4 linked regions of the Saccharomyces cerevisiae S288C genome follow. The protein of the gene in region 1 binds, or shares a complex with, the protein of each later gene. Each region holds a gene or a part of one and is shown on either strand. Other genes may lie near its edges. A codon is read from its position in the direction of its gene.

Region 1 (5,271 bases):
GCCAGAGAAGACTAAAGACATGGAAACTTTTTACCCCTTTTCTATGTTGGAAACTGGTTGGGATATTCTTTTCTTCTGGGTTACTAGAATGATTCTATTGGGCTTAAAATTGACCGGTTCAGTTCCATTCAAGGAAGTTTTCTGCCACTCTTTAGTCCGTGACGCTCAAGGTCGTAAGATGTCTAAATCTTTAGGTAATGTTATTGACCCACTAGACGTTATTACTGGTATTAAGTTGGATGATTTGCATGCAAAATTATTACAAGGTAACTTAGATCCAAGAGAAGTTGAAAAAGCTAAGATCGGTCAAAAGGAATCCTACCCTAACGGTATTCCTCAATGTGGTACCGATGCTATGAGGTTTGCATTATGTGCTTATACCACTGGTGGTCGTGATATTAACTTAGATATCTTACGTGTCGAAGGTTACAGAAAGTTCTGTAACAAAATCTACCAAGCTACCAAGTTTGCATTGATGAGACTCGGTGACGATTATCAACCACCTGCCACTGAAGGTCTATCAGGTAACGAATCCTTGGTTGAAAAATGGATCTTGCACAAGCTGACTGAAACCTCGAAAATTGTCAATGAAGCTCTAGATAAACGTGACTTCTTGACGTCCACTAGCAGTATTTACGAATTCTGGTATTTGATTTGTGATGTTTACATCGAGAACTCTAAATACTTGATTCAAGAAGGCTCTGCTATTGAAAAGAAGTCCGCAAAGGATACATTGTATATCTTGCTGGACAACGCTTTGAAATTAATCCATCCATTCATGCCATTCATTTCTGAAGAAATGTGGCAAAGACTTCCAAAGCGTTCCACTGAGAAGGCTGCCTCAATTGTAAAAGCTTCTTATCCAGTTTACGTATCTGAGTACGATGATGTCAAATCGGCCAATGCTTACGACTTGGTCTTGAACATTACCAAAGAAGCTCGTTCCTTGTTATCTGAGTACAATATTTTGAAGAATGGTAAGGTTTTCGTTGAATCTAACCACGAGGAATACTTCAAAACTGCTGAAGATCAGAAAGATTCTATTGTCTCGTTGATCAAGGCCATCGACGAAGTCACTGTTGTTCGTGATGCTTCCGAAATTCCAGAAGGTTGCGTATTGCAATCTGTTAACCCAGAAGTCAATGTACATCTTCTCGTCAAGGGACACGTTGATATTGATGCTGAAATTGCGAAAGTTCAAAAGAAACTTGAAAAGGCTAAAAAATCCAAGAACGGTATTGAACAAACCATTAACAGTAAGGATTACGAAACAAAGGCTAATACACAGGCCAAGGAAGCCAATAAAAGCAAGCTGGATAACACTGTTGCCGAAATCGAAGGTTTGGAAGCTACTATTGAAAACTTGAAGCGTTTGAAATTGTAGATTGAAGGTAGATAAAAATTAATGTAATATATATATATATATATGCTATGTATATGTAACAACGAAAATGTTAAGAATTTTAGAACATTGAATAATAACTATTTCCAAATATAAGAGGTAGTCTCCGGCATACGACATAGCATGTTGTGGTATATTATAATCTATAATGGCTATACAACTAGACGAGGTGATATATTGTCCTGTATTATTCTTCTTATATTTGTGACAAGTTCTTGACACTTTTGCTCACCCAGCTCCAGTAAACTGAACAATTGATCTTCATTAAAATCACCATTGCTGTCTAACAATAAAACGTTTTTCACGACTTTACCGCCATTGACGAACTCCAGAGCTAAAGTGTGGACAGAGAGCGAAATCTTCAATTGCTCGGCAGTGGGATCGACAATGATATCACTAGTGTCTTTGATTATTGCAATAGGGATGCTTGCGCACATACTATTTAAGGCAATTCCTGCATCAACTAAAGCCAAAAATGCCGCATTTATACAACAACTTAGCTCTCTCAGGGAGAATTCGGCTTCATCTTCACCAGATTCCAGAATTTGACAAGTTATCTGGCAGAGCTGTCTTGGGTAACAATGACGAGTGATGAGTGGGGTCAGAACTGCCCGTAATTTATCTTCGAGTACCTTCTCTCTTGTTGTGGCCACCCCTTTCGCGGGACGTACAATAATTTCTAATGCTAATTGTGTAGGCAGTTCTTGTCTTGCTTTTGGTTCAATAGGGCCTGTTACAGAACAAATAACCTTGGTGTCTTGTGATACGAATTCAGATGAACCATCTACATGATCTAATATCCCTATTTCTGCTTGGACGCTCATTTTTTTTTTTTTTTCAGCAGAATCTAATCTATTCTTGGTATTGGGCTCCTTGTTATTACCATATATGCAGAGATATTTTATGCATCTTAACTGGTTCATCTAACAAATTTTCCACTCTTTTTTCCACAATCCGATGCGCTTAAAAGGAAAAAAAAAGTAGTAAAAAGAAAAAGAGAGGTACATAATAGTCTTTATGAAGAAAAGGCGCTATTTTGTCACCTTTAACTTGGCATAGTCTGGAGCTTTATATAAACCATTCAAAGTACATAAATGTTGATATGTTCAAAGAGGAGGACTCGTTAAGAAAAGGGCAAAATGTGGCCGCGTGGAAAACTTTGTTGGCTGGCGCCGTATCCGGGCTGCTTGCCCGTAGCATAACTGCTCCCATGGATACCATTAAGATCAGATTGCAATTGACCCCTGCAAATGGGCTGAAGCCCTTCGGAAGTCAGGTCATGGAGGTGGCCAGAAGCATGATAAAGAACGAAGGCATCCGGTCCTTTTGGAAGGGTAACATACCCGGTTCTTTGCTGTACGTTACCTATGGCTCAGCGCAGTTTAGTTCATACTCCCTTTTTAATAGATATTTAACTCCATTTGGACTAGAGGCGCGCTTACATAGTCTTGTTGTCGGAGCCTTTGCTGGCATAACCAGTTCCATCGTTTCCTACCCGTTCGATGTTTTACGGACCCGACTAGTTGCCAACAACCAGATGCACTCAATGAGCATCACGAGAGAAGTGCGTGATATCTGGAAACTAGAAGGTCTCCCCGGATTTTTCAAGGGCTCCATCGCGTCAATGACAACCATAACTCTAACCGCATCTATAATGTTCGGAACATACGAAACAATCAGGATATACTGTGACGAAAACGAAAAAACGACCGCCGCGCATAAAAAATGGGAACTGGCTACTTTAAATCACAGCGCTGGTACCATTGGCGGCGTCATTGCTAAGATCATTACTTTCCCCCTCGAAACGATCCGTAGGCGAATGCAGTTCATGAATTCGAAGCATCTGGAAAAGTTCTCCCGTCATTCGTCTGTATACGGTTCTTATAAAGGGTACGGATTCGCAAGAATCGGTTTACAGATTTTGAAACAAGAAGGTGTGAGTTCGCTTTACAGAGGTATTCTGGTGGCCCTTTCCAAGACAATACCCACCACTTTTGTGAGTTTCTGGGGGTATGAAACTGCCATCCATTATTTGCGGATGTACTAAAGTTTCCAATCTTTTTTGTCACATGTACACACTCATATACATATACGAAATCATCATATCTTATATTCTTCACTGACAAAGATCGGTAGCCGCCCGGTTTTCCATTCCGATTACGGCCTGACTCAGTCGCGCCGTCTTCCTCTAATAACAAAAAATCGAAAAAAAAAGAGGAATCTCGTTGCTAGCGATCTGACGCCAACCCTTTTTCCGGTTTTTCTTAGTTGCCTGCTGCCCCGCACCGGTTTTTCTTCTTTTTTTTATCTTTTTTTCCGCTCAGTCAGCGGGGAAGGGAGAGAAGGAAACAATGAATCGGATCTTCCGATGGAACCAGCGTCAGGGACCACTACATCTGCTTGTTGTTTCAACACAACTTACATCTGCGCAAGCACACGGACTAGGAGTAACAAGAAGTAGTAAAATTGAAGAAAGCAAGGACTGCTGCAATCTCTGCACCCTTGTGGTAGCCACCCTTCTTAGATGTGGCATACTTACACTTTTTTTTTTCTTTTTTTTTTTTTTTTTTCGCCTTTTCTCATTTCTTGGCTCCTTAATAGCCAAGAAATGAGAAACGTGGGAGATGTTCAACCTCGCCTGATCCTACCAAAAAAAAAAATCGCAAAAATAAGCGGGAAAAAATGTCAGATTCTAAGTTTCAAACCTCCGGAGATGATTCATCATCACCATCACCGCCGATTTGTTGGATTGCGTGTTTACGATCCATCATTTTTCTTGTAAGCGTTTAGCTTTCTGTCATCTCTTTATCTTTTTTCCTATTTTTTTTTTTCACTAGTTTTTGCACTGAATAACACCTCCCCTTACTCATAAATGTGCTAGCTGAATCCATATTTCCTAGTCTTGCATTCCCTTTCCCTTCAAACAGCGCTGCCCTTCTTCATCTTCATTGTCGAAAATAACCATTCTTCTCCTATCTTGAAATCTAAAAATAACGCTACTACAGAAAGCTTTTTTCACAGGAACTAGGGCGAAGCGTACAAGAATAAGGAAAGACAGCGTAGTTACAAACTAAACTATCTATACTATAACGACCGAAAATTTCTGTTTTTTAACACCTCTTCTACCAAACACAACGAGAGTGCATTAGAAATAGGACAAAACTGGGCTCAAACTAATGTCTGATTACTTTAGTTCCAGACCTTCGCAAACGCTCACGCCGATGGGCAATAAGCCATCTGGCGGTGGTGGCGGCGATGACGCCTCCTCCATCCACTCGAAGAGCTCGCAGTACTTGATGGACATCTTACCTGATTCGATGACCTTGAACGAAAGTGTTTCCTCCATAGTGGCAAACAATCAGGCAAAGGAGTTTATTTTGCCTGAAACAGATGAGAGATCTCCCTACTTCATAAACGTCCCTATACCAAAGGCTCAGCCAACCTCTACTACGGAAACGAAGAAGCCCCTTGCAGGTGATGAAGCTATCGATGGGCAGTTTGTTAAGGAGTATCCCACCGACATCCTTGTAGACAGGTTTTATAAATGGAAAAAAATTCTGAAAGGGTTAGTGATTTACTTGAGGGAAGTCGCGTATGCGCAAGAACAGTTCGCACGGATCAATTACCAACTGAAAGGATCTGTGAAATTTCCATTTTTGACTGATATTGATGAAACCACAAATACCATTACGGATCCATTCACAACGGCTCCTAGAGGCCCTAAGAAAGCGCAGCCTGCGCAGAAGAAAGTTGGCCTGACTGACAGCGAACAATTTCAGATGCAAATGCAACAGGAACAGCAGGAAAATGCAGTGCAGGCTCCCACAGATGAAAGTAAAATGAGTTTGGCGCCTCATGAATACAAGCCT
Region 2 (5,819 bases), on another chromosome or scaffold:
ATCTAGATAGTGACTTATTTAGTGAGGTCGAATAAATTGTTCTCCGGTACCAAGAAAATTTTAGTTAAGCCTGGCTATCCACCAACGCACGTATACTTCTTCACTTTAGATAAATTGCATACTTGATACATATAAACTCTTTGTCTTTTAAATCATAGCCCAAAGGAAACGTAGATCTCAGAAGGCATGTGAAAAAAAATTCGATCTTACCTTTTTTACGCCATTTTAAGCTACTGTTTCGATACATGAGCGTGGCTGGTACATTGAAGGTGGGCAATCGTCCACTTATCTAAAGACAGCTTATCAGCATGAAATCCAAAACGTGGATTTTCAGGGATGTCTTATCTAGTCACCGAACCAAAGCGTTTGATAGTTTACTTTGTAGGAGACTCCCTGTATCAAAGGCAACGAAGCATCTTCAACTGGGAGAACATTTCCTGTTCTTCCCACCATCATTCGAAAAATTGGATAGAGATGGTTATTTTAACTATCAAAATCCTGCAAGTTTGCTAGGAAACCCTGATTTACGCTACCGTAGAAGGATTTGGGGACAAGGAGAGCTTGTTCAGTATTTACCAGTCACCTTAGACCAGGAGTATACATGCCACGAATCAATCAAATACGTAAAAAAAATACGAGATGAACATGTTGTCTGTATTGAAAGAACCCTTTTACAAGAAAGGCCCGAAAATGTGTCGAGTCCAATGGACATTTGCTTATTCGAGAGAAGGGTATTAATGTACACCAATTCACCCGCAAACAAGACTGCAGTCAAGATGCCCGTAGGAGAGGAGAACTATAAGATCTTAAAAAATTTTACTGTTACTGATATGGATATTGTAGCTTATGGTCAGATGTCTTTGAATCCGCACCGAATTCATTGGGACAAAGAGTACAGTCGCTATGTTGAAGGCTACGACGATATTATCATGCAAGGACCCTTCTCGGTCCAATTACTACAGAAATGCATCCAACCTTTTCTCGAACAACCAATCAGACAGTTGCGATACCGCAATTTGAATTATATATATCCAAACACTACTTTGAGCATATGTCAGTCTTTAAGCTCTTCGAGCGGAATGTACACATTTCAAATTAGGGACCTCCAGAAAGCCAACTTAGTCTACATGAAAGCTGATGTTTTCTGTTGACTACCAGTAATTGTCTCTCTGCAGATAATCACTACCTGTGTGTTTCTTGTCTCTTGAAATAATACTAGTAGCTGCTGAACAGTGGAAGGTCACGAACGAGATTACCATAATATCTCGCCATCACCAGGTTGACGGTAAACGCATTACGGGAAGAACTGAAAAAAAGGTGGGAAAAAAAAATAAAAAGTAAAGTGAAAAATTAAATGTAATGTATATTTCCATTTTGACGCAAAGTACTTCCCTCTATCAGTTTTGTATCTAACTGCAGAGTAAAGTCGTGTTTTGCTTAGTTAACTTATATACAAGTCAAAGCAAAAAAGATGTCCGATATCAACGAAAAACTCCCAGAGTTACTACAAGACGCTGTCTTGAAAGCATCTGTTCCTATTCCAGATGACTTCGTTAAGGTTCAAGGTATTGATTACTCAAAGCCTGAAGCCACTAATATGAGAGCAACTGATTTAATTGAAGCTATGAAGACCATGGGTTTCCAAGCTAGTTCTGTTGGTACTGCCTGTGAGATTATTGATAGTATGAGATCATGGAGAGGTAAGCATATTGACGAATTGGATGACCATGAAAAGAAAGGTTGCTTCGATGAGGAAGGGTACCAAAAGACTACTATCTTCATGGGTTATACTTCTAACTTGATCAGTTCCGGTGTACGTGAAACTTTACGTTATTTGGTGCAACACAAAATGGTTGATGCTGTCGTTACTTCTGCTGGTGGTGTGGAAGAAGATTTGATCAAATGTCTTGCTCCAACTTACTTGGGTGAATTTGCTTTGAAAGGTAAATCTTTGCGTGACCAAGGTATGAATCGTATTGGTAACTTGCTTGTTCCAAATGATAACTACTGTAAGTTTGAAGAATGGATTGTCCCAATTTTGGATAAGATGTTGGAAGAACAAGATGAATACGTAAAGAAACATGGCGCTGACTGTTTAGAGGCTAACCAAGACGTGGATTCACCAATCTGGACCCCATCTAAGATGATAGATCGTTTTGGTAAGGAAATCAACGACGAATCCTCCGTATTGTACTGGGCCCACAAGAATAAAATTCCAATCTTTTGTCCATCTTTGACTGATGGTTCAATCGGTGACATGTTGTTTTTCCATACTTTTAAAGCATCTCCAAAACAACTAAGAGTTGACATTGTAGGAGATATCCGCAAAATCAATTCAATGTCCATGGCCGCTTACAGAGCCGGTATGATCATCTTGGGTGGTGGTTTGATCAAGCACCACATTGCCAATGCTTGTTTGATGAGAAATGGTGCTGATTATGCCGTTTACATTAACACTGGTCAAGAATACGATGGTTCTGATGCAGGTGCAAGACCTGACGAAGCTGTGTCTTGGGGTAAGATCAAGGCTGAAGCCAAATCCGTCAAACTTTTTGCTGATGTCACCACTGTTCTTCCATTGATTGTTGCTGCTACCTTTGCCAGTGGTAAACCAATCAAAAAAGTTAAGAATTGATGAGAGAATTTTGAGATGAAAAAAAAAAAAATGAATCTGTACTATTTCTTTTTTTAGTGCAAAAGTTTTGTTTTAATATAGAGATAAATAAAAAAATGAACATATTACTATAATATCAACAAAATATGATGTAATGTCTGCAATAAAGATGAGTCAATTGCATTTCTATACGTACTAATCGTGTGTACATAGCCATGACATTATGTAAGTTTATACACATAAATTGCGTTGGAGTCTGCTGTGTAGTTTATAAATGTGTAAACAGCGGCTTTTGTATTCCTATTAGTTGCCGTTACCTCTCATTTTTTCGGCGGTAAGAATGTCACTGCCTATGGATTCCATTACATTTTTCTCAATCAGTTCACCTACGTTTGAATAAACCATACTAGCTTCGTAAGCACTTACTATACGTTGTTGAGTAATGCCTATTTCACAGAACGCTAACGCTTTGATCACGTTCGCATACCGGCAAATTGCTTGTCGTATGTTGTTCGATATGGAAGGATCGTTTTCATCCGAATATATTTGCCATGAAGACTCTTCTTCCAGTCTTGTTATGGAGGGATTTAATGATACCGCACCAGTGGGTCCAGTTGATTTAATTGAGGAACTGTTATTTGCAGACGGCGTATCCCTCGCTAAGTCCATCTGAGATGTTTTCCTTAACCATATGTAACCATTGACTCCGAGAACTACGGTTATGTTGCCGGGCAAATTATGAGTATGGTTCTTGGCTCTCACTATTAATGAACTCGGGACTTGGCAAAACATCCCGTTTCTTAACTTCCCGTACTTTAGAGACCTTGTATGTAAAGAGGCACTACCATCTTGAAATAATGATTGAACTTCTGCATTCAGGAGGTCACCTTCCTTAAGGAAGCTTCTCATTTGTAGTTCATCACTTTCAGATTTTCTTCTTAGAATACCACCCGGTAAATTCACAGAGCCCAACATAAGTACTGCATGTTGCTTACCGCCAATGTCTACTTTCCATCTCTTGTTACCCACTTCAGCAATTCTCCCTACGACGTGATCACCAGTTTCTGGGGCATAACGACCTTTCAATGGAATTACCGATAGCAGCCTATTGACACGGGATACAGTACCAGCAACAGAGGAATACGTCATATTATCAAGAAAATACGTACCGTGACCTCTCATCCAGATAGGGTCATCAGTGACCAGCTCACCTGGCGTCACAATTTGAGAATCAGACTCACTTTTAGAAGCTGAGTTAACATCGTGCATGTAGATATCTTCTTCATCATTTTCATCATCTGATATCCCTGTGTTGTTATAGGACAGGTTAGATGAATTTTGGAAGGCACCGTTCCGCTTGGTAATTGTGATAACTTCGGACATATCTGTTTACGCTTGTGTGACTACGCAAAGATTTAGAATGCAAGCAGTACTTAAGGAAGGATATTTTTCTTCTACTTTTGTTTTAGTTTTCTTAATTTTTTTTTTTTTTTCACCTCATCGCTCAATCCATACTGAGGAAGAAAAAGAAAAAAAAAGATTCACTGAGGATATTTGAACAAACCAGTTTAAACCATAAGTAAAGGTAAGGATATTTTTCATTGCATGAAAATCGCACTGCCAGTATTCCAAAAATTTAATAGATTGATCAGTTCGTGCAAGATGTCAGGAGTGTTCCCATACAACCCACCCGTGAATCGCCAAATGCGAGAATTGGATAGGTCATTTTTCATCACCAAGATACCAATGTGTGCAGTCAAGTTCCCCGAACCCAAAAATATCAGTGTGTTTTCTAAAAACTTCAAAAATTGCATCTTGAGGGTGCCCCGTATCCCGCACGTTGTTAAGTTAAACTCATCCAAGCCAAAGGACGAACTGACAAGTGTACAGAACAAGAAACTAAAGACTGCAGATGGCAATAATACCCCAGTCACGAAAGGTGTGCTGCTACACGAATCCATCCACAGCGTGGAGGATGCGTATGGAAAATTGCCTGAGGACGCCTTGGCGTTTCTTAAGGAAAACAGTGCGGAAATTGTACCACACGAATACGTGCTCGATTATGATTTCTGGAAAGCTGAGGAGATTCTTCGAGCCGTGCTGCCCGAGCAATTCCTGGAAGAGGTTCCAACGGGTTTTACAATCACAGGCCACATTGCCCACTTGAACTTGCGCACCGAGTTCAAACCATTCGACTCGCTCATCGGACAAGTCATCCTTGACAAGAACAACAAAATCGAATGTGTCGTGGACAAAGTCAGCTCCATTGCCACACAGTTCAGGACTTTTCCTATGAAAGTCATTGCTGGGAAAAGCGATAGTCTAGTGGTAGAGCAGAAGGAATCCAACTGCACTTTCAAATTCGACTTTAGCAAGGTGTACTGGAACTCCCGATTGCACACAGAGCATGAAAGACTCGTCAAACAGTACTTCCAGCCTGGCCAAGTAGTCTGTGATGTTTTCGCCGGCGTGGGGCCCTTTGCTGTACCTGCGGGCAAGAAGGATGTCATCGTTTTGGCTAACGACTTGAATCCTGAGAGTTACAAATACTTGAAGGAGAACATCGCATTGAACAAAGTGGCCAAGACCGTCAAATCCTTCAACATGGATGGCGCTGACTTCATCCGCCAGTCGCCACAGTTATTACAACAGTGGATTCAAGATGAAGAGGGCGGCAAGATCACGATCCCTCTGCCTTTGAAGAAACGACACAGATCCCAGCAACACAATGACCAACAACCGCCACAACCACGCACCAAAGAGCTGATCATTCCGTCACATATTAGCCACTATGTCATGAATCTACCAGACAGCGCCATTTCTTTCTTAGGAAACTTCCGTGGCATCTTTGCAGCACACACTAAAGGCGCCACTGATACCATCCAAATGCCATGGGTGCACGTGCACTGTTTTGAGAAGTACCCGCCTGGCGACCAAGTCACTGAGGACGAGTTGCATGCACGCGTTCATGCCCGTATTATTGCCGCGCTCAAGGTCACTGCAGACGATCTTCCGTTGAATGCCGTTTCGTTGCATTTGGTGCGCAAAGTTGCACCCACCAAACCGATGTATTGCGCGAGTTTCCAACTTCCAGCTAACGTATGAAGCGATCTGCTCTTGCAGTTTGCCGTGGGAGGAAAAAGGCAAAAAGGCGACCATTAGAAAAAGAAACGAGATGACTAACACCTTTATCTTCGAGAAGGCG
Region 3 (6,007 bases), on another chromosome or scaffold:
GCATTATACAGTTTTTTCCGATTTTAAACGACTTTATTTAAGTGTCGTGTAAATATGTCACATTTTATTTTTGTACGTATTCACATGTCCTGGCGTGCGGCCATTGCTGAAAATCGCAAAACCCACAGAGAAATAAACATCGCGAAAAAGTCAATGAAAAATTGGAAAATATTTTTCATTTCACTATTATCCACAAGCAATTTTGTACAAAGTGAAAAGGTTGAACTAATTATCTTCGTCTAGAAGCCATGAATTCACTCGTTACTCAATATGCTGCTCCGTTGTTCGAGCGTTATCCCCAACTTCATGACTATTTACCAACTTTGGAGCGACCATTTTTTAATATTTCGTTGTGGGAACATTTCGATGATGTCGTCACTCGTGTAACTAACGGTAGATTTGTTCCAAGCGAATTCCAATTCATTGCAGGTGAATTACCATTAAGCACTTTGCCCCCTGTGCTATACGCCATCACTGCCTATTACGTTATTATTTTTGGTGGCAGGTTTTTGTTAAGTAAGTCGAAACCATTTAAATTAAATGGCCTTTTCCAATTGCATAATTTGGTTTTAACTTCACTTTCATTGACGCTTTTATTGCTTATGGTTGAACAATTAGTGCCAATTATTGTTCAGCACGGGTTATACTTCGCTATCTGTAATATTGGTGCTTGGACTCAACCGCTCGTTACATTATATTACATGAATTACATTGTCAAGTTTATTGAATTTATAGACACCTTTTTCTTGGTGCTAAAACATAAAAAATTGACATTTTTGCATACTTATCACCATGGCGCTACTGCCTTATTATGTTACACCCAATTGATGGGCACCACATCTATTTCTTGGGTCCCTATTTCATTGAACCTTGGTGTTCACGTGGTTATGTATTGGTACTATTTCTTGGCTGCCAGAGGCATCAGGGTCTGGTGGAAGGAATGGGTTACCAGATTTCAAATTATCCAATTTGTTTTGGATATCGGTTTCATATATTTTGCTGTCTACCAAAAAGCAGTTCACTTGTATTTCCCAATTTTGCCACATTGTGGTGACTGTGTGGGTTCAACAACTGCCACCTTTGCAGGTTGTGCCATTATTTCTTCATATTTGGTACTATTTATTTCATTTTACATTAACGTTTATAAACGTAAAGGCACCAAAACCAGTAGAGTGGTAAAGCGTGCCCACGGCGGTGTTGCCGCAAAGGTTAATGAGTATGTTAACGTTGACTTGAAAAACGTTCCTACTCCATCTCCATCACCAAAACCTCAACACAGAAGAAAAAGGTAAGTGTAAAATCTTTGAAAGAATTTAAGTATTCAACTTTCGTATATTCGTTTTTTCTTAGTGGATCTATTGTTACTATTATCACTATTATTATATTGTAAAAGACCGGATGGTTTTGTTATATATTACATACACATGTTATCGTTGAAAAAAGTTTTCCGTTTCCTTTCGACAGTCATCAGATAATTTTATCCGAGTCTTTTATATGTTAAATCTTGTTGACAAATCGTCCGCTCTAACCCTAGATAACAACAATGATCTTTTTATCATTTCTGGCGTTATTTTAGCGCCTCCTCCCACTAATGTTAATTGCTTATAGTTACCTGAAGGAGCAGCGAGGATGGAGATCGTACTGTGTATACTTGTTTCTTCCGCTTCAGTATCTAGGTCTGCTATTAGCACAGTGTTCAATTTATCCATATCAATGTCCACTTCCTCTTCTTCAGAGTTATCAGAGTTTTGTAATTGGCATTCGGGGTCTAACTCCACTATCCCATAATTTGAAGCAAATGCAATATTCTTTGCGTTTATCATTAACGGTACTGACTTAGTTTGGTCGCAAATAATTTCATACGTTTCTCTTATGGTGGCACTTCTTCCTCTTGTTCTTATAGTCATTCTTAAATCGGACGCACGCTCATCTATAAATGCTCTAGGTAACTTTACGCTCTGTAAAGCGTACATCAAAGAATTCCAACACAAATCGAAGACTGGACCAGTGCGACTCAAGACTACAATTTTCGCATACAAAACGTATGACCATTTTCTTTTCATTTTCAGGTTTGTTTCATTCAGCGTATCATCTTCTAATTCATCGGGATACAAGACGGAAAACGTACCGTCTTCATTCGCACTACGAACACCAGCTTTTACCTTCAAGGCTTTTTTAGGCAATATCCTAGAGTGCAATATGGAATCGTGTAGTTTTTGTGATATAGTCATTTCTTCATCGGTGCAAGCGCCCACTCTACCTCTTTCAACTTCCACCACCGGATAGACAGAAGCATAATTTGCAATTATGTCCTCCTCTTTGGTCACTTCGAACAATTCTTCCTCACCGAAATCATCCAAATCTTTAATCGCGGCGCTAGTTTCTTCTATTATTCCACCCGTAATAGAAGTTATGACTATGGTTTTCCCACTTTTCAAAACATTTGAGCCTAAAATGTTGTTTTTAGTGTCTATATTACCAGCATCCGCATAACGCGATAAAGTATTATTTTCTATAGCAACATCTCTAAATTCTTCATATTTTCTTAGACATGGCCTGATTCCTAGGGATAAGTGTCTTTGTAAAGACAATTCTGGAGATATTCTCGCAAGAACTTCAGGTGGAAAAGTAATTGGGTGTATCTCAATAGTTTCTAACGTGGTACTTTCAGCCATTTCCAATATTAGATGCCTGTGAAACTACTGTCAAACTTATTTGTGTAACAATACTCATCGTCTAATTTGTCCATTATTGTTATATACTCTGTCATAAAAAAAGAAAGAAAAATCTTATACTTTCGTCGACTGTGATTTGAAAATCTCTCCAGATCAAACGGGAATAAAAGGGTTTATATCCGAAGGTGGCCAGAACAATCATGAAGCAAATAGGATAAAAATAGCCAATAAGATGTTTGTTGTCTTTCATCCCAAAGTTCCAACAGCATATTTCAAAGATGGGTATTACAGTAATAGGTTCTCTAAACTATGATTTGGACACATTTACGGATAGATTACCTAACGCTGGAGAAACTTTCAGGGCTAACCACTTCGAAACACATGCTGGTGGTAAGGGATTGAACCAAGCTGCGGCCATTGGTAAATTAAAAAACCCCAGCAGCAGATATAGTGTTCGAATGATTGGTAATGTTGGAAATGATACATTTGGTAAACAATTGAAGGACACTTTATCCGATTGCGGAGTCGATATCACTCACGTCGGTACTTACGAAGGCATTAATACGGGTACCGCTACCATACTAATTGAAGAGAAAGCTGGTGGCCAAAATAGGATATTGATTGTAGAAGGTGCTAACAGCAAGACTATTTATGACCCGAAACAGTTGTGTGAAATTTTTCCAGAGGGCAAGGAGGAAGAAGAGTATGTTGTTTTTCAACACGAAATTCCTGATCCTCTTTCCATTATTAAATGGATACATGCGAACAGGCCGAATTTTCAGATCGTATATAACCCCTCACCTTTCAAGGCCATGCCTAAGAAAGATTGGGAGTTGGTAGACCTTTTGGTCGTTAATGAAATTGAGGGTCTTCAAATCGTGGAAAGTGTATTTGATAATGAACTTGTTGAAGAAATAAGGGAGAAGATAAAGGACGACTTTTTAGGAGAATATCGTAAAATTTGTGAGCTTTTGTATGAAAAACTCATGAATCGAAAGAAAAGAGGAATTGTGGTTATGACTTTGGGTTCGAGAGGGGTGCTTTTCTGTTCGCACGAAAGCCCTGAAGTACAATTCCTTCCGGCTATTCAAAATGTTTCGGTTGTTGATACTACAGGAGCTGGAGATACTTTCCTGGGCGGTTTGGTTACTCAATTGTATCAAGGAGAGACCTTGTCTACGGCTATAAAGTTCTCTACATTAGCTAGTTCATTGACCATTCAAAGAAAAGGTGCTGCTGAAAGCATGCCACTGTATAAAGATGTTCAGAAAGATGCATAAAATCTACTGCAATTTTTTACTTTTAGTTTGTTAAATTTTAGTTTTCGTCATATATATAAAGTTTAAAAAGGTACAAAGAATGCAGTAATAAGAAATGTAATTACATGAGGGCAGTTTAAGTGCTACCTTTTAAGACGGAAGAACTAATACCATAACCGAGAGTAATTACGCAGACAAACGCTAACAACGAAGCAGGAACACCTCTGGAGATAAAAGCGCCTACAGTTAGCCATCTATTACCCTTTTTATCGGTCATAGAAATAGCAGTAACGTTTGGAAATCCAGATGAAGCCAACCCCATACCGCATGAGGCTAACAAGGCGCAACCGAACACAAGAATTGGAGCTGCCTTTGGATCGGATAATTTGTCACCAACTTCTTGCACCAAGGGAATAATGATGATTGCTGACACAGTATGTGAGACAAAAGTGCCCACAACTAACATTAAAATACCGAAAATACATAAGATAGCAAAAACACCATCGTTCTGAATTTTCTTTTGTAATGCTCTTGCAATAGTTACCAACAAGCCTGAAGATGAAACTGCCTTACCAAGGGCTATACCACCCATAGCAAGAACAACAATTGACCAAGGGAATGTGTTGAAATCCTTTGTTGATAGTAGACCTGTACCAAAAAACAGGACTATCGGTATTACTGCAATTTCACCGGACGATCCAAAAGCACTTTCTATTTGTGACTCTACACACCATAGAAGAATAGTAGCAATAGTTACAATGATGATAAAATATTGCTTTATAGTAAATCTGGTCCTTATTGGTTTAAATTTTTCCAGTTTAGTTTTGCCTATTTTAAAGGTGAGTATCATCAAGGCCCAGGAGCACAGCATCGATAGAATACCTGTAGGCAGAGCGACAGCAAAAAATTGCCCCCAGCCGATTCCATAAGGTTTTAAGTACTGCATGGAGATGATATTCTGTGGCGAAGAAATAGGTGAAGCCATACCACCAATATCTGCCGAAAGTGCAACACCCATGACTAATGCCTTAGCAAACGGTGAAGTGTAGTCCAGCGGATCTAGTAAGGGTGTTAATAGAGAATATGTCAATACTGGGGAGGCAACGTTGGAAATCCACATCGAAAGAAAGAATACAACACTCATTGCCATTAAAAGGACATTTCTTGGCTTGGTACCTGCAAGGGCCAATAACCACGATGCCAAAACTTTCGCAACGTTATATTGCGACAAGGCTTCACCCAATGTGAAACCTGCTAATAAAATCATAATTGTTGACGACCACATTGTACCTAAGATTTCTGTAGAGGCAGCTGCTGCTCCCATTACCTTACCGTCATCGTCTTTTAGTACCCTAAAAAGGACAGTTAGAAGGGGAACCAATAAACCTGTGATGTGTAATGGAATGGCTTCACTAGCCCATAAGAAAGCACAGCATTCTACCAATGCCATACACCGGTGTTCGACAGGGTCATTGAAAGTTTTAACACCCAACAAAACACCTGTGACAATGATAATGAAGCCTATTTTCATTGCTCTTTTCCCAAAAAATAGCTTAGGAACTGCCAAATTTTCAATTTTAGTAAACTTCAAATTAATTGGCTTAGGCAATGGATACTTGAAATATTCAATTTGAAGCTTTTCTTGCATAAGTTTCTCAGCTTCATCTTCAATAGTTATTATATCGTTATTTTGCGAAGAGAGGCCCAACATGTCTTTCCATGTGTTGCTTCTTTCCCAAACAATGTGGTCGTGCAGGTACGACTTTAACTCTTGCTTGCATGAATCTACGTTCCCAGGCTGACCCATGAGAACAGCATAAAATTCAATAAGTTGTGCAATTTTACTGTTTAAACTGCTTAAAGTTTCATGCTGGAAGATGTAGGTGTCTTTGAAAAATTCTTCACTTTCTATTAATTCTTGCCTAGTGTTCATGTGCAATACTTTATCAGACTTCTTAGTAATTTTACTGAAACCCATTCTGTTCAATTCGATAAAAGATTTCAACTGGCAAAGGTCTATGTAAAGATTTATTATTGTCTGTTTTAATAATGACTTTTTCTGAGATTTAATGT
Region 4 (3,765 bases), on another chromosome or scaffold:
ACTATCTTTTTATCCTGTGGCGTTTGTTCAATGATGGAGTTCAATCTTGACCTGATGGCAAATAACCTCAACCAATAACCTCTGTTAATACAGGGAGATCTTTTAATTTTCTTAGGAACAAAGAATTTAAAATATTCCAACAGTTTATTATTCTTATCCATTTGGAAATTATTAGCCGAACTCAGTTTTGGCAAATACAATAACTCTACCGATCTTTTAGAAGCAATTGAGGAGTTATTTGTGCCTTGAATCGCCAAATCAGCGTACTTTTTACGTCTTTCTTGTTTGACATTCTTGTTCGTTTGCTTTATAGTGGTCAGATTCTTCATCGTATTAGATATGTGCACTATAGTTGTCGAAATTTTATGGCCATATGTTAGATGTGATGAGATGAGATGAGATGAAACTTTTTTTCCTTCGCTTTTTCAAAGGACATTAAAAAAGGACGTGAAATATTGATGATATCTATGTGTTTATATATTTTAATTATACATGGTAGTCTACTCCTCCTTGACCGTAAGTATTTCTTTAAACTGTCTTTTTGCTATATCCTTGAACGCTGCCGTGTCGTTTTTTTGACAACACTCCATTATGGTTCTATAACAAGCTAAAGTGTTAGATAATTCCTCGCACTTAACCCAGATCTTCCCATTGAGACCAATGGCGACTTCAAACTTGGTATGTGCAGCCAACACTTTTAATAACGGGAAGTCATTATTGAAAAGCAACTGGCGTGCGAAATTCAAATTCACGTCAATGATCATACCATCTTCCAATATCCCGAAACCAGCATCGCGTCCTGTAGTTGAGTCAAAACATTCTATTTCGGCTTCTAGTTCCTTTTCTGCGGTACAAACTCTCGCATACACTAGATCTCCCACTTGCAAAGTTGGCCTGTTTTTCTTTGAAGCATTGGGAAAAGCCATATACGATAGTGAAACACTGGAGGAGAAATTTTGCAACGAAACCTTATAGCTATCTGAAAATGTCCCTATAATGACACCGATTACAAAATCGTTTACAGATGGAATGTATCTCTTACTAGAATAGTCTATATATGCGGTCTGAACACCACTCTTACCCTTAGCGGAAACATGCAAAACACCTGTATTAACAGGTCGTATTTCTTGAGTATTGGGGTCACAATATATGCCAGGGCCCAGTTTAACAGGTGTAGTAGGGTCTACAGGAAAGCTATCACCAGGGAATATGAACGTAGACATCTTGTATGCTCTTGGTTAGTCGAAATGCTGGAGATGAGCTGCTGAAGCATCCGTTTGTGCTGTTGGTTTAATATGCTTCTCTAAACCAAAAAATTTCAGCCGATCAGGTCCGGGTCACACCACTACCCTTACTAGTAAACAATGATGGCTTTCATTAAGGTAACTTTAAGTGAGGTGGATGGAACTAGTTTCCACGAAACTTCATCGAAGAGGTCTGGGGTTCTATGACGTATAATTAAAACTCTGGGAGGTTTTCGGAGGTTCCCGTAGGTCAATTCTTAAGGCTCTATGACATATTCTGGGAGCGGAGATATTTTCGGAGGTCCCCGTTAATAAGAGAAAAGTAGCCATATAAAAGAGAACAATGAAATATTGCCCCAGAGAGTGGGTTCAAAAGCATGAAAAGGAACAGTATAACGCAGTATAACGCAGTATAACGCAGTATAACGCAGTATGGCAGTTAAAGGATTAGGCAAACCAGATCAAGTTTATGACGGTTCCAAAATCAGGGTCGGTATCATTCATGCCCGTTGGAACCGTGTCATTATTGACGCTCTTGTGAAAGGTGCTATTGAAAGAATGGCTTCCCTTGGTGTCGAGGAAAATAACATAATAATTGAAACTGTTCCTGGATCCTATGAATTACCTTGGGGGACAAAAAGGTTTGTTGACAGACAAGCGAAGTTGGGAAAGCCGCTAGATGTTGTAATTCCTATTGGTGTACTTATCAAAGGTAGTACAATGCACTTTGAATACATTTCAGATTCCACCACTCACGCATTGATGAACTTACAAGAAAAAGTCGACATGCCCGTCATTTTTGGCCTCTTAACTTGCATGACTGAAGAACAAGCCCTGGCCAGAGCTGGCATCGATGAAGCGCACTCCATGCACAACCATGGTGAAGATTGGGGTGCTGCAGCAGTGGAAATGGCTGTTAAGTTCGGTAAAAATGCTTTTTGAATAAGCGCAGAGAAATCTATACTATATATGTATATATACTCACTATAGAAGAAGCCCGCTCTTTGATTGTTTCCTCTTACGGTGCTTCAATGCATCTTTCATTTTGCGCCTCATATCACGGGTCCAATTACCTCTGTTAGCCCAGAACTCCTCATCCCAGTTCGATAGCATTGTTTCTCTTCCAGGAGCCCTTACTTTACTCAACTGTGTTTGTCCTACTAAAAATGGCGATTGCAAATGAGGGAAAAACAAGAAATTTTTGTTATCTTTATCTCTAGATACATGTGGTACGGGAGCCGATGTCAAACCTAGGGTGTCAGATGATTTACTTACTTCTTCCTCCAGTTGGTTCACATCAACATCTTTCGCATGATCAATATCATTATCAGAATCTTCAATCAATTTGAATTGTGATACAGGTTCTGCCTCGTTGGGGTTGAATAGGTTTCTTAACGTCTCAGTGTTGCTTATTGTACCTTGACCAATTTCCTTGGTGAAAGTCGGAATAAATTCATTATCCTCCTGCCCGTCGCCCTCGTCCTGTTCTTTCCTTTCCTCTGGTTTTTCTTGTGGTAGGGTGCTCTGGTCCTTCGTCTTATTAACATTCTCGTATTCGGGAGCGTTTACTTCTTTTTCTTCTTCTTCTTCTTCTTCTTCCTCTCCTTTACGTTGCTCTGTCAGAAGTTCCTCGTCCGAATCATTCAACGTCATTGGCTTATCGAAGTCAAAGTCCTTTAATAGGTCATTAAGAATAACATTATTTTTCTCCTTCTCCTCTTCTGACATATTCTCATCGCTGTCCATCTCTCCACTGCAAACGTTTTCATCTTTTGACACTGTTAACTGTTTCAGCCCATTTTTGAATCGAACAGTTTTAACAGCACGACTGTAATCCAATCTATCGACAATGTGGTTGTATCCGTTTTTCCAGAAATTATTTGTAAACTTGTACACAAGGTCATTCAATTCTTTGTTCCTTTCATAACCCCATAATTTAGTCTTATAGCATTTGTAAACTTTCAATGAACCATTGACATTGATCCTGAATGTAATGTTCCTCAATTGACTCCTTTTTCTCGGCGCCTCCCTCATTCTGCCAGCAATAACTTCCTTATGATCTTTCCAACTTTTCGCTACATTTTCCATTTTCTTATAATGTTGCCAATTCTTTTTTTTCATTTTAGCATTTAGTATAATATCTTCTTTAAGGTCCTTTGCATGTTGTACCGCCCAGGTGCTTTCCCAATTCGGCTTTGCTTCATCAACCTTCAAAATGTTCCCTTTAAACTTAACATTATTAAAGCTCTTTCTTAGCTTGTTAAAATCTGCCTCATCATTAAACCTTATATCGATAAATGCAAAGTGGTTGTGTTTTTCAAACTGAAAATCTTGGCAATCACCAAATTTTCCAAATCGATCTAGTAGTTCTGAATAACAATCATCTGCATTATGGAAAATATTTCCGACAAAAATTCTTTTTTGAATTACACTATCCATCGTCGTATATTACCTAGTTCTCACTTCAGGTACAATCTAAAATGATATGGGCCTATTGTATACTTTGTTAATTGACTGACAT

Evidence for each region.
Region 2: RRP46 (region 1) and RRP4 share a complex: the UniProt entries of both Saccharomyces cerevisiae proteins name them as parts of the RNA exosome complex.
Region 3: the proteins of RRP46 (region 1) and RRP43 are in contact, whole or in part, in a crystal structure (PDB 5OKZ), measured with the Saccharomyces cerevisiae proteins. Residues at the interface, in NP_011609.2 of Saccharomyces cerevisiae: Thr61 (codon at 2,046), Arg62 (codon at 2,043), Lys64 (codon at 2,037), Val65 (codon at 2,034), Asp68 (codon at 2,025), Ala72 (codon at 2,013), Pro76 (codon at 2,001), Glu103 (codon at 1,920), Phe104 (codon at 1,917), Lys140 (codon at 1,809), Lys155 (codon at 1,764), Ile156 (codon at 1,761), Ser157 (codon at 1,758), Leu158 (codon at 1,755), Val160 (codon at 1,749), Val174 (codon at 1,707), Lys175 (codon at 1,704), Asn176 (codon at 1,701), Val177 (codon at 1,698), Leu178 (codon at 1,695), Leu179 (codon at 1,692), Leu180 (codon at 1,689), Asp181 (codon at 1,686), Ser182 (codon at 1,683), Asn183 (codon at 1,680), Gly184 (codon at 1,677), Asp185 (codon at 1,674), Phe186 (codon at 1,671), Asn187 (codon at 1,668), Glu188 (codon at 1,665); in NP_009964.2 of Saccharomyces cerevisiae: Glu121 (codon at 2,315), Asp122 (codon at 2,312), Ile123 (codon at 2,309), Ile124 (codon at 2,306), Asp146 (codon at 2,240), Met149 (codon at 2,231), Thr150 (codon at 2,228), Gln153 (codon at 2,219), Lys154 (codon at 2,216), Ser158 (codon at 2,204), Leu160 (codon at 2,198), His161 (codon at 2,195), Arg163 (codon at 2,189), Asn356 (codon at 1,610), Tyr357 (codon at 1,607), Lys358 (codon at 1,604), Gln359 (codon at 1,601), Leu360 (codon at 1,598), Thr361 (codon at 1,595), Leu362 (codon at 1,592), Gly364 (codon at 1,586), Gly365 (codon at 1,583), Gly366 (codon at 1,580), Ala367 (codon at 1,577), Lys368 (codon at 1,574), Ile369 (codon at 1,571), Pro371 (codon at 1,565), Ile374 (codon at 1,556), Lys375 (codon at 1,553), Leu378 (codon at 1,544).
Region 4: the proteins of RRP46 (region 1) and RRP40 are in contact, whole or in part, in a cryo-EM structure (PDB 5G06), measured with the Saccharomyces cerevisiae proteins. Residues at the interface, in NP_011609.2 of Saccharomyces cerevisiae: Gly8 (codon at 2,205), Leu10 (codon at 2,199), Asp11 (codon at 2,196), Val13 (codon at 2,190), Asp14 (codon at 2,187), Gly32 (codon at 2,133), Pro33 (codon at 2,130), Ile34 (codon at 2,127), Glu35 (codon at 2,124), Thr79 (codon at 1,992), His81 (codon at 1,986), Cys82 (codon at 1,983), Tyr83 (codon at 1,980), Pro84 (codon at 1,977), Arg85 (codon at 1,974), Gln86 (codon at 1,971), Val121 (codon at 1,866), Asp122 (codon at 1,863), Ala123 (codon at 1,860), Gly124 (codon at 1,857), Ala126 (codon at 1,851), Leu127 (codon at 1,848), Asn128 (codon at 1,845), Ser129 (codon at 1,842), Met130 (codon at 1,839), Phe167 (codon at 1,728), Val168 (codon at 1,725), Asn169 (codon at 1,722), Gly170 (codon at 1,719), Gly171 (codon at 1,716); in NP_014499.2 of Saccharomyces cerevisiae: Phe4 (codon at 1,214), Phe6 (codon at 1,208), Pro7 (codon at 1,205), Gly8 (codon at 1,202), Asp9 (codon at 1,199), Ser10 (codon at 1,196), Tyr26 (codon at 1,148), Arg35 (codon at 1,121), Pro36 (codon at 1,118), Val37 (codon at 1,115), Asn38 (codon at 1,112), Thr39 (codon at 1,109), Gly40 (codon at 1,106), Val41 (codon at 1,103), Asp58 (codon at 1,052), Tyr59 (codon at 1,049), Ser60 (codon at 1,046), Ser61 (codon at 1,043), Lys62 (codon at 1,040), Arg63 (codon at 1,037), Ile65 (codon at 1,031), Phe91 (codon at 953), Ser92 (codon at 950), Ser93 (codon at 947), Lys128 (codon at 842), Glu129 (codon at 839), Leu130 (codon at 836), Glu131 (codon at 833), Asn161 (codon at 743), Gln165 (codon at 731).

The regions. Positions count from the first base shown.
Region 1 is NC_001139.9:674,117-679,387, forward strand, and holds RRP46 (exosome non-catalytic core subunit RRP46), read right to left. Parts: upstream 2,227-5,271; coding exon 1,555-2,226; downstream 1-1,554. Other genes in the region: VAS1 (valine--tRNA ligase), read left to right, coding at 1-1,384; thiamine transporter TPC1, read left to right, coding at 2,505-3,449; ASK10 (Ask10p), read left to right, coding at 4,579-5,271. UniProt on the Saccharomyces cerevisiae protein: Non-catalytic component of the RNA exosome complex which has 3'->5' exoribonuclease activity and participates in a multitude of cellular RNA processing and degradation events.
Region 2 is NC_001140.6:230,662-236,480, forward strand, and holds RRP4 (exosome non-catalytic core subunit RRP4), read right to left. Parts: upstream 3,998-5,819; coding exon 2,918-3,997; downstream 1-2,917. Other genes in the region: SSF1 (rRNA-binding ribosome biosynthesis protein), read left to right, coding at 1-35; hydroxyacyl-thioester dehydratase HTD2, read left to right, coding at 309-1,151; DYS1 (deoxyhypusine synthase), read left to right, coding at 1,472-2,635; TRM5 (tRNA (guanine) methyltransferase), read left to right, coding at 4,220-5,719. UniProt on the Saccharomyces cerevisiae protein: Non-catalytic component of the RNA exosome complex which has 3'->5' exoribonuclease activity and participates in a multitude of cellular RNA processing and degradation events.
Region 3 is NC_001135.5:190,344-196,350, forward strand, and holds RRP43 (exosome non-catalytic core subunit RRP43), read right to left. Parts: upstream 2,676-6,007; coding exon 1,491-2,675; downstream 1-1,490. Other genes in the region: fatty acid elongase ELO2, read left to right, coding at 249-1,292; RBK1 (putative ribokinase), read left to right, coding at 2,954-3,955; PHO87 (SPX domain-containing inorganic phosphate transporter), read right to left, coding at 4,071-6,007.
Region 4 is NC_001147.6:53,016-56,780, reverse strand, and holds RRP40 (exosome non-catalytic core subunit RRP40), read right to left. Parts: upstream 1,224-3,765; coding exon 501-1,223; downstream 1-500. Other genes in the region: tRNA methyltransferase PPM2, read right to left, coding at 1-329; lumazine synthase RIB4, read left to right, coding at 1,677-2,186; NOP8 (Nop8p), read right to left, coding at 2,229-3,683. UniProt on the Saccharomyces cerevisiae protein: Non-catalytic component of the RNA exosome complex which has 3'->5' exoribonuclease activity and participates in a multitude of cellular RNA processing and degradation events.